Caenorhabditis elegans: one gene and its partner. The protein of the gene in region 2 interacts with the protein of the main gene of each other region in a pairwise test. Each region holds a gene or a part of one and is shown on either strand. Other genes may lie near its edges.

Region 1 (4,285 bases), on a different chromosome or scaffold from region 2:
ATTTCATTCGGGAGTAGATGCGATTGAGTTTTTCAAAAGGTTATAGGAATACAAACCTTCTCAGTTTGAGTTGGAGTTTTGTCTGATAAAATATTATGAACATGCTTCGTGAGCAGGTTTTTTCATTTTCAGTTATGAAATTAGTTTCTTTAATAGTCAACAGTCTATTTTTAACAACTCATGTAAAAATAATAATTCAGCGTACTTAATTTAGATAATTGAGCACAATCTAGCTGCACTCCAACACAGAGTGTTTTTCATCCAACTGGCAGACTCAAAAAATCCGAAAATTAAAACCCAAAAACACAAAAGAAATTCAGATATCACCAACATAAGAATTTCAAAGATTTCGAGACACCAAGAATGTCTGAAGCAGAAAAGTTTCTAAGGAACTCAAAGATTGACAACTGTTATTGAGAAACTGTCGGAGATGTTCGATCAAATGTGAACAAAGGTGAGAGCATAGGCTTACTAGGTACTTTAGGTAGGTCTAGGTAGGTTATAGGTACTTTCAAAAAATTTGAAAAATCTCTCATCATTCATTGGTTACACGCGACTATTTTGTTGATTACATGAGTTCACTTAGTAACCATTTCCTGACTTATTCCAACTGCCCCTTTCTGTTCCTTCCGACGTGACGACTTATTCGTTCCATCAACACTCAAGTTACCACCCTTCGCCTTGTTCTTCCGTTCATTGGATCGATCGTTCTTCCCAGCATCTCTTGATTTCTTCCGAGTAAGAGTATTATTGGAGTTTGTACGATCAGTCGAAGTATGGCTCTTCCGATTCGTCTTGTTTCTACGATCCATATTATTTCGACGATCTTCCGATTTTTTCTGTAATTTTTATGTTAGAATAATTATAATCTGGAAAAAATGCCAAACCTTCTCAATAGCTGGATTAGGGCTCATTGGTTTTTGAGCATCAAGCTCCAGGGTCTTCTTTTTCTGTTGAAGCATCGCAAGACGGTTTTTGACTTCTCTGAAGTTGATGCGGACCGATGGAATCTTAAAATTGGAGAGTTAACATCAAGAAGAAACTATTCACACCTTACTTTTGCACAACAAGCATCCACAATCTCTTTCAACTCACTTGGATCTCCGTCTTCAATCTTATGTGGGTGCTCCGACTCTTTGATCCATTTTTGCACCTGCTTCAGATTCTTCGGCCACAACGGATCATGTGCACATCTCGTCATAAGTTCCGTGAGCAGTACTCCATACGACCAGACGTCCGTTTTCTCATTGAATAATCCTTTGGAGAATGTCTCCGGAGAGAGCCATCTGATTGGGGCCTTTTTCAAACTTTTCATTTTCGTCTCACTTTCATTCACTGATAAGCCAAAATCAGAAATTTTGACGTTCAGTTCTTTAGTGATCAGGCAGTTCCTTGCGGCCAAGTCCCGATGGATGACATTTTTGGAGGACAGATGCTTCATTCCACTGGCAATCTCCATTGCGAATTTGATGATTTGTTTACTGGGTACGTTTGGAGTACGTTGAAGGTATTTCTGCAAATTTTTCGATATTAATTAAAAATCTGCGGTTTCACTTACTCTCAAATCTCCTCCCGGTACAAACTCAATGACTAACATGATCGGCTGCTGGAGAGACGCGAATCCATACAGAGCTACGATGTTCTTGTGTTCCAGCAAAGTCATGATGTTTGCTTCCTGAAAAGAGTACATTAAATTGGCATCTTCAGATGGATCCTTTGTGGAGGGCTTAAGCTTACGTTGCAAAAGTCCACGAGTTGGGGCCTTTTGGCATCTCCGATGAGTCGTTTGACGGCTACTTCAGTCGGGACAGTTGCTCCCATTGGCACATATTTTGCTTTGATTACTTCACCAAAAGCTCCTCTTCCCAGCTGATTTTCCAAAGCGATTGAACTGTGTTGGAGGATCATCGAACATCGACTGATTGGTACAAGCTGATTGACTACCAGCGACCAGGCATCGAGAAGTTGATATATGTGTTCGTATCGCTTCACAGGAATCCTTGGAAACTTTTCATAAAGAATCGGGCAACTCCATCCTTCCGAGTTCCAGTTGAATTGAAAATGGAAATATTTGTCTTCAACTCGTGCCGTTATACACAGAAATTTGTGTGTTGGACCCATTGATCTACGGACAATGTAAGAGCTCTCCCATTTGAGTAGCTTCTCGGCAGCCTTTCCGAACATCATTCCATGATACCAGTTACGTTGTAGCAAGAATGATTTGATGTATTCCTGAAATTAATGAATCTTTAATATAACCTATGGAAGTTCTAAAATATCCCTTACATCATCATGCTTCTCAACATTGAGAACCAGATCTGGAAACGAATGTGCGTATTCAAGATCCGCTACTTTTCCGGCAACATCCTCATTGCTCACAGCAGCTCCATCAATCACAAGATTCGGAGAATATTTGGTATTACTTGATTCAGCAGTTTCACAACTTTTTTGATCAGGTGTTTTCATTATTTTATATGCAAATGATTTGAATTCTTGATTCTTCTGATCTTCATATGAAAGCAATGATTGAAAATAGCAATTGATGGAGTGGGAGGGGCTAGTGAAATGGTTCACGTTCAATTCGAATTTTTACAAATTTTTTAATTGTTTTGTTATATTTCTATAATTTTATATTGGAATATGAGTTTTTGCGGATTTTCAAAAGTTCATTTAACATTTGAACTTTACGTGACGTATCTAGAGCAAAGATCTAGGACAAAGATAAGAAGCTTGCTATAAATTGGACAGATTTTTCCATAATCTTCATAGAGTTCTCATAACTCCAACAACGACCGTATCACTGTTGAGTGGACCAACACCCCGGATGGCGCTGCCAAACAATTCCGTCGTGAATGGTTCCAGGGAGACGGTATGGTTCGTCGCAAGAACCTTCCAATTGAGTACAACCCATAGAGCCTTTATTGACTTTTTTCAATAAATAGTTTTAAATGTTCCTTGTTTTTTTGGTTTTGAACTTTTCAGTTTTTAAAACGAACCAACTTTGGTGCTTTTGTATCAATTTGAACACAAAATGTGGGAGAGCGTCAAGGTTAAAGCCGATTCTGTTTGAGGACCGCTTGAACTTCATTTTCCGGCATAAATTTGAAGAAATTTCATTTAAAAAATCTATTATTCAGAAAAATGTAGTGAAATCTTTTTTGTATTTGTAACAGTATTCGAGATATACAAAAATTTCTAACAACAAATGGTGTTACAGCGAATGACAACTTTTCGGCAAATACTGTTTTACTACTTGATCTTTTACTACGCATCTTTTTTACTACGGAATCTCTTTCACTACGAATTCCACATCTAGATCTTTTACTACAATTGGATCTTTTACTACGGAATCTCTTTTACTACGGTTTACCAACATAGCTCTTTTACTACAGTACGAAAATTTTCAATTTAAGAATTAAATTTTCAACAACATTATGCCGGCAAACACTCATTGACTACCTTCTCATTGACTACCTTTGCTCATTGACTACCTTTTGCTCATTGACTACCTTTGCTAATTGACTACCTTCAAATGCTCTTTGACTACCTCTATCTAATAAAATTTTCCAAAATTTTTTTTGAAAACTTTTCAAAATTTGATCAGAAAAATGCAATGTTTGTAGTTTTTCTAGTTTGGATGTTCTGCACACGATTGCAGACGAAAACCTGAGGTTTAGTAGAACACCTAAGCTCAAAAAACGCACTCACTTCGGATGCTGATATCTCCGTGGAAAAATTTTTTATGACAAAGTGATCAACTACAAAGTTGTTTATCTTAATCTAAAGTACAACTTTGTAGTTGATTGTTTTTTATCAAAAAATTTGTTGGTCGAGATAAAGTTGTGTAAAGTTCGGCACCTTCATGCTTGTATTTTCTTCTTCTTTTTCTGTTCATATCTCAACCAACAAATTTTTTGATAAAAAACGATTAACTACAAAGTTGTACTTTAGATTAAGATAAACAACTTTGTAGTTGATCACTTTGTCATAAAAAATTTTTCCACGGAGATATCAGCATCCGAAGTGAGTGCGTTTTTTGAGCTTAGGTGTTCTACTAAACCTCAGGTTTTCGTCTGCAATCGTGTGCAGAACATCCAAACTAGAAAAACTACAAACATTGCCTTTTTCTGATCAAATTTTGAAAAGTTTTCAAAAAAAATTTTGGAAAATTTTATTAGATAGAGGTAGTCAAAGAGCATTTGAAGGTAGTCAATTAGCAAAGGTAGTCAATGAGCAAAAGGTAGTCAATGAGCAAAGGTAGTCAATGAGAAGGTAGTCAATGAGT
Region 2 (4,341 bases):
GGAAAAATGGCGGTCCAACTTCTATAGCACCCCCTCTGATTTTTGACAATTTTCGGTAAAATCGGGGTATTCTTTGCAATTAATAAATTTATTTTGAAAGAAACTTCACACCAGCATAAGTTTTTCAACATGCGCTACCGAACTGTTTCAAACCGCCAAATTAGAGGGGGGGGGGGGGGGCAAGAGAAGTTGGACGCACTGTATATTATGCCATTTTTCAAAAATTTAAACAGCCATTGCAAACTTTGAGAAGTCTCATTTCAAAATTTGTTAATATGGGCGCAAACCTTGGCAATGAAATACGCGGTATCAATCTTCTTGGTTCACAGGTGCCCGGCGTCGTTGAAAAATAAATTAGTGTATTTTTTAAATTTTTTTTGAAGAACCCGTAATCAGAAATATTTGCTAATTTGAAATAACAAAGTTTTGCTACAGTATCATAAGTTTTGAAGTTTTATGACGCTTTTACGATATCCTGTAGTTAATTTCCATCATTTACATCTAGAACACCCAGAACCATAATAATTTTATTAAAAACTAAAAGTAGGGTACACATGTTTGTATAATTATTAGAGTTAGTATTTAGAGAAAAAATATTTAAAACATTTTGAAACTATACAAGTATGGATGAACACTTTGAAAACACTTTAAAAAGGCAGTTATTGCAATCAGTATGATAAATAATACAAATATGGTTTTTTTTTTGAGAATACAAAACTATGCATTAAAATGGACAACTTTGGAAGAGCTGAGCAATATTTCTATATGTTTAAGAATCTCCGTCGACCGCTTCCAAATCGCGAGCCGCAGCTTTGGTTTCATCATCCTGAACTGGCATCACATGAACTTGGATGTTCTAAAAAGTATTCCTTATGAAATGAAACAAACATGAAAGGTGAGCACTCGATAAGGTAATATATTTGACAACTGTTTGGTGTGTACATGGGAAAATATTGGGAAAAGCAACTCAACCGGTGGGATAAGCGAGGAAGTGGCAAACAGCTTCATACTCACATCGGCAGGTCTTAGGCCAGTCTGGTAGTTTGTTGCTGCATACACGTAGTTTTGATCGTTTGGAACTGAAATAAAATAAACTTTGAAAAGCTTGAATATCTTAGAGGGCTTGAATGCAATATTATGAAGTTATGTTTTTGTTGTAATTAACGCTATCCACCATTAATACCATACTTTAAGTACTATTTCAAGGTTAGTAGTTTTCATTTTATAAAAGTTGATCACGTACCCATCATCAACCCAGCTGTAGCGGCAGTGTTCCATTGATAGTAATTACTGTACGTTTGATCTGGCAAGGTGACGGCAGCTGAGGAAACGGGATACAAGTCGGCATGTGACACATATGTGGCAGTCGCAGCTGCGACGGCAGCAGTGCTCAGTTCTCGGTCTGCTTTTGCACTTCCCGCACGCCGGTTAGATGACCTTTGAGCCTTTTCGGTCGAAGAAGAGGCTCTCTCAAACTTCCTTTCTCGGGCCCGTGACGTTGATGGTGTGGAAGAGTCTCCGCTTTTTGATTTTCTCTTTCTTGTCTGTAAAGCACCTTCTTTCTTCATTGAGGTCGGCCGAGGGATGTGATGGAGTTTGAAGTAAAGCCCGCAAGCACTGAAAAACAAACCATTAGAAAAAAAAAAAAAAAAAAAAAACTCACTTGCAGACCGGATCTCCTTCAGCATTTCTTCTCCAGAGAGTTGTGTTGGTACCATTGCAATTGGAGCACACAAGTCCCTGCCGACGGGACGCAGATCCCTGTATTGATTTGTTGTACACTGTTGCAAACGAACTTTAACTTACGTTTGACCCCCTATTTGAGCTACTTGACTTTTTAGAGGATTGCTTGGCAATTTTAGCAGTTGGCTGCTCTGAAGGTATTTCCAGAATCGGGGGTTGTCCCAAAGAAGTGCTATACGCGACTGGAGGAGAATACGTGGTTTTTGGTGTTGAACAGTTGACGCACATCATTCTAGAAAATTATTCGTTGTAGTTTATTTCCAAACAGTGTACAGGCACATATTAATCCGGTAGTTTATTGAGTCATCGAAATTTTTCTAGCTTACCCTCCGTTTACTGCCTTCATCCCGGCCCCACAACTTTGTGAGCATTTGACGCATTCGTAAGTTGGAGCCACAGTTGGATAAGTAGAAGGGATGTTAATGGTAGGAATACTGGGGTCGTACAGAGAGGGTTTGTCGTATATGCTAAAGTTTGAATATGAAAGTAAGAACTTGAAAACATGACTTACGAGTTTGTATATCCCGAAAAAGTTCCAAGAGTGTTTACGGGAATTCCACTGTAAAGAGGATAAAACGGTTGCATGGTAGTTTGGTCCAACATTCCAAAGTTTGAGTAGTCTATGCCAGTATGGAAAACTAAAAGGAAGAATTAATCCAAATAACTTGAATTCACACTTACATGATGTAACAGTTTCCACTTTCGGCTCATAGTTATTTGTGCCACTTGTGATAACACTTTGCCGTTCAATTGGAGATGCGTAATCATTATCAATTTTCACTGAAATTTTATAATTTTATAATCCACAAGCATTTCAGTGTTTTGTTTACTTCTCGGTAGTTCACTCAATTGTGACTCATTATTTTGCTCTGGTGGATCCATGTTCTGAGTTGGTAGGCGCAGACCTCCCATTGGTTGAGATGGTTCCATTTCGGCCCAGCCGTTGACATTATCATTGTAGTTATTATCCATTCTATAATCTATTTTCTAGTTTCTATTTTATTAGAATGCCAAGAAAATCAAGCATTTATACATCAAAACTTATCAATGAAAACAGTGGCACCTAAAACATCAAGCAGTTTAAAAATTCAAAAATTCAAAAATGCTTCGAGAAGTGTATTTTCTTAAATACTGCCTTTAAAATTAAAACTATTTGAAGACAATTTTCAGACGAAGATATTACAATTAACATTTTCTTGCTCATTCCAAAAATTAACTGCAAAAATTAATTAAAATAACCCATAAAATAAGAACACAAAGATGTTAATGCCATAGTAACTTAGAAGATATCAGTGAAAACAGTGGCACCTCGATAGCTGTTCAACGATAAGACTAAAAATGATTGGGAAGTATAGATAGGCTGATTTTATCAAAAAGAAAATTGTCAATGAAGGCACAAAGCGTATTGGTTTGAAAAGAAAGATGGTGTGCACACCGAGCTCGGTGTGCATGATGGCTGGCTAGCGATTATGGCGTTAGTGTCGACTATTCTTATCAGTTTCAGCCCCGACCTCTGTCGCTCATATACGCAGACAACCACCCACTTCCAGCCAAACATGGGACTCGGGTCCGCCCATCATTGCATGTACGGTAGTTGGTAATTGAAAAAAGTGGAATGAGGAAGAAAATATTGGTTTCAAAGTAGCGTTTATAATAACTACAAAAAAATCAACTGAGGAGACAATAAGTAGATAAAACAGGCGATCAGACTTTTGATGGATACATATATCCAATTTTGCAAACAAACTTGAAAATTAAATTGAGTTTTTGCGTTTTCACTGAAACTTTCAAACAAGTTGCAATGCAGCTATTAATACTGCACATAGTAATAGTCTTGCTTTAATTTATTGCCAGAACAGATGTATCTAGTTAAAATGTTGATAAATTACTATCCTTCACAGAGTGAAACAAAATCAAAAGCTTTCAAGAATTTATGGTAATTTTTTTTAATTTGATAAGGCATCATTGTCAAAACTTGAATAATTTGTCAAAAGCTAGATATTCAAAAATTAGTATTGAACCTCAATTACCCTACAAAGTTTATAGTGCTCACCAATTGGAAATAAGTTTTGAATACAATACTAATGGAGAAAATACGGCAAACTATACATTTTTAACTTTTCACTCATTAGTTTTCATATAATTTTTAAACTGTGATGTCACACCATAATTTTAAAGACAAGAAAACATACAAATACATATAATTATCAATAAATGATATTATTATAAAATAAAAAACGCATATTTGTGAGATATGAAAAGTACGCCCTTCTATGTTTTTTTTCAAGAATACCGGATCAAAGGGTACGCTTTTTGTTACACAGTGTGTTTTACGGAAACATATTCAACATTTGGAGGACAGTTCTGTCTCCAAAGCTGACCAGTTCAACATTCTTATAAACAAAACGTGATGCGACCTTCAAGTTGTCTGGAACTTTTGTGATTCGGGCAGGATAAGGAGTATGAAGAATACAATAATGAAAAATAAAACAAAAAAAGATAACCTGTAGAAAAATTGATAATTTTCAGTTTTTTTCGATAATCAGCCACACACGCACATAATATTACTTCACACCCCACAATATCAGATAATAATCA

What was found. Proteins that work in one complex are often made in the same cells at the same time.
Region 1: the proteins of elt-2 (region 2) and kin-21 interact in a two-hybrid assay, tested with the Caenorhabditis elegans proteins (one large-scale study listed by BioGRID).

Annotation. Positions count from the first base shown.
Region 1 is NC_003282.8:9,831,116-9,835,400, reverse strand, and holds kin-21 (Tyrosine-protein kinase), read right to left. Parts: upstream 2,516-4,285; 5' UTR 2,467-2,515; coding exon 2,287-2,466; intron 2,233-2,286; coding exon 1,738-2,232; intron 1,676-1,737; coding exon 1,559-1,675; intron 1,514-1,558; coding exon 1,058-1,513; intron 1,011-1,057; coding exon 888-1,010; intron 840-887; coding exon 579-839; 3' UTR 531-578; downstream 1-530.
Region 2 is NC_003284.9:10,479,615-10,483,955, reverse strand, and holds elt-2 (Transcription factor elt-2), read right to left. Parts: upstream 2,717-4,341; 5' UTR 2,716-2,716; coding exon 2,574-2,715; intron 2,524-2,573; coding exon 2,425-2,523; intron 2,382-2,424; coding exon 2,255-2,381; intron 2,211-2,254; coding exon 2,070-2,210; intron 1,976-2,069; coding exon 1,807-1,975; intron 1,762-1,806; coding exon 1,664-1,761; intron 1,618-1,663; coding exon 1,244-1,617; intron 1,080-1,243; coding exon 1,015-1,079; intron 857-1,014; coding exon 770-856; 3' UTR 515-769; downstream 1-514. UniProt on the Caenorhabditis elegans protein: Transcriptional activator that binds to the consensus sequence 5'-[AT]GATA[AG]-3'. Predominantly directs the transcription of intestinal genes such as ges-1, cpr-6, pho-1, ftn-1, vit-2 and lev-11, and itself.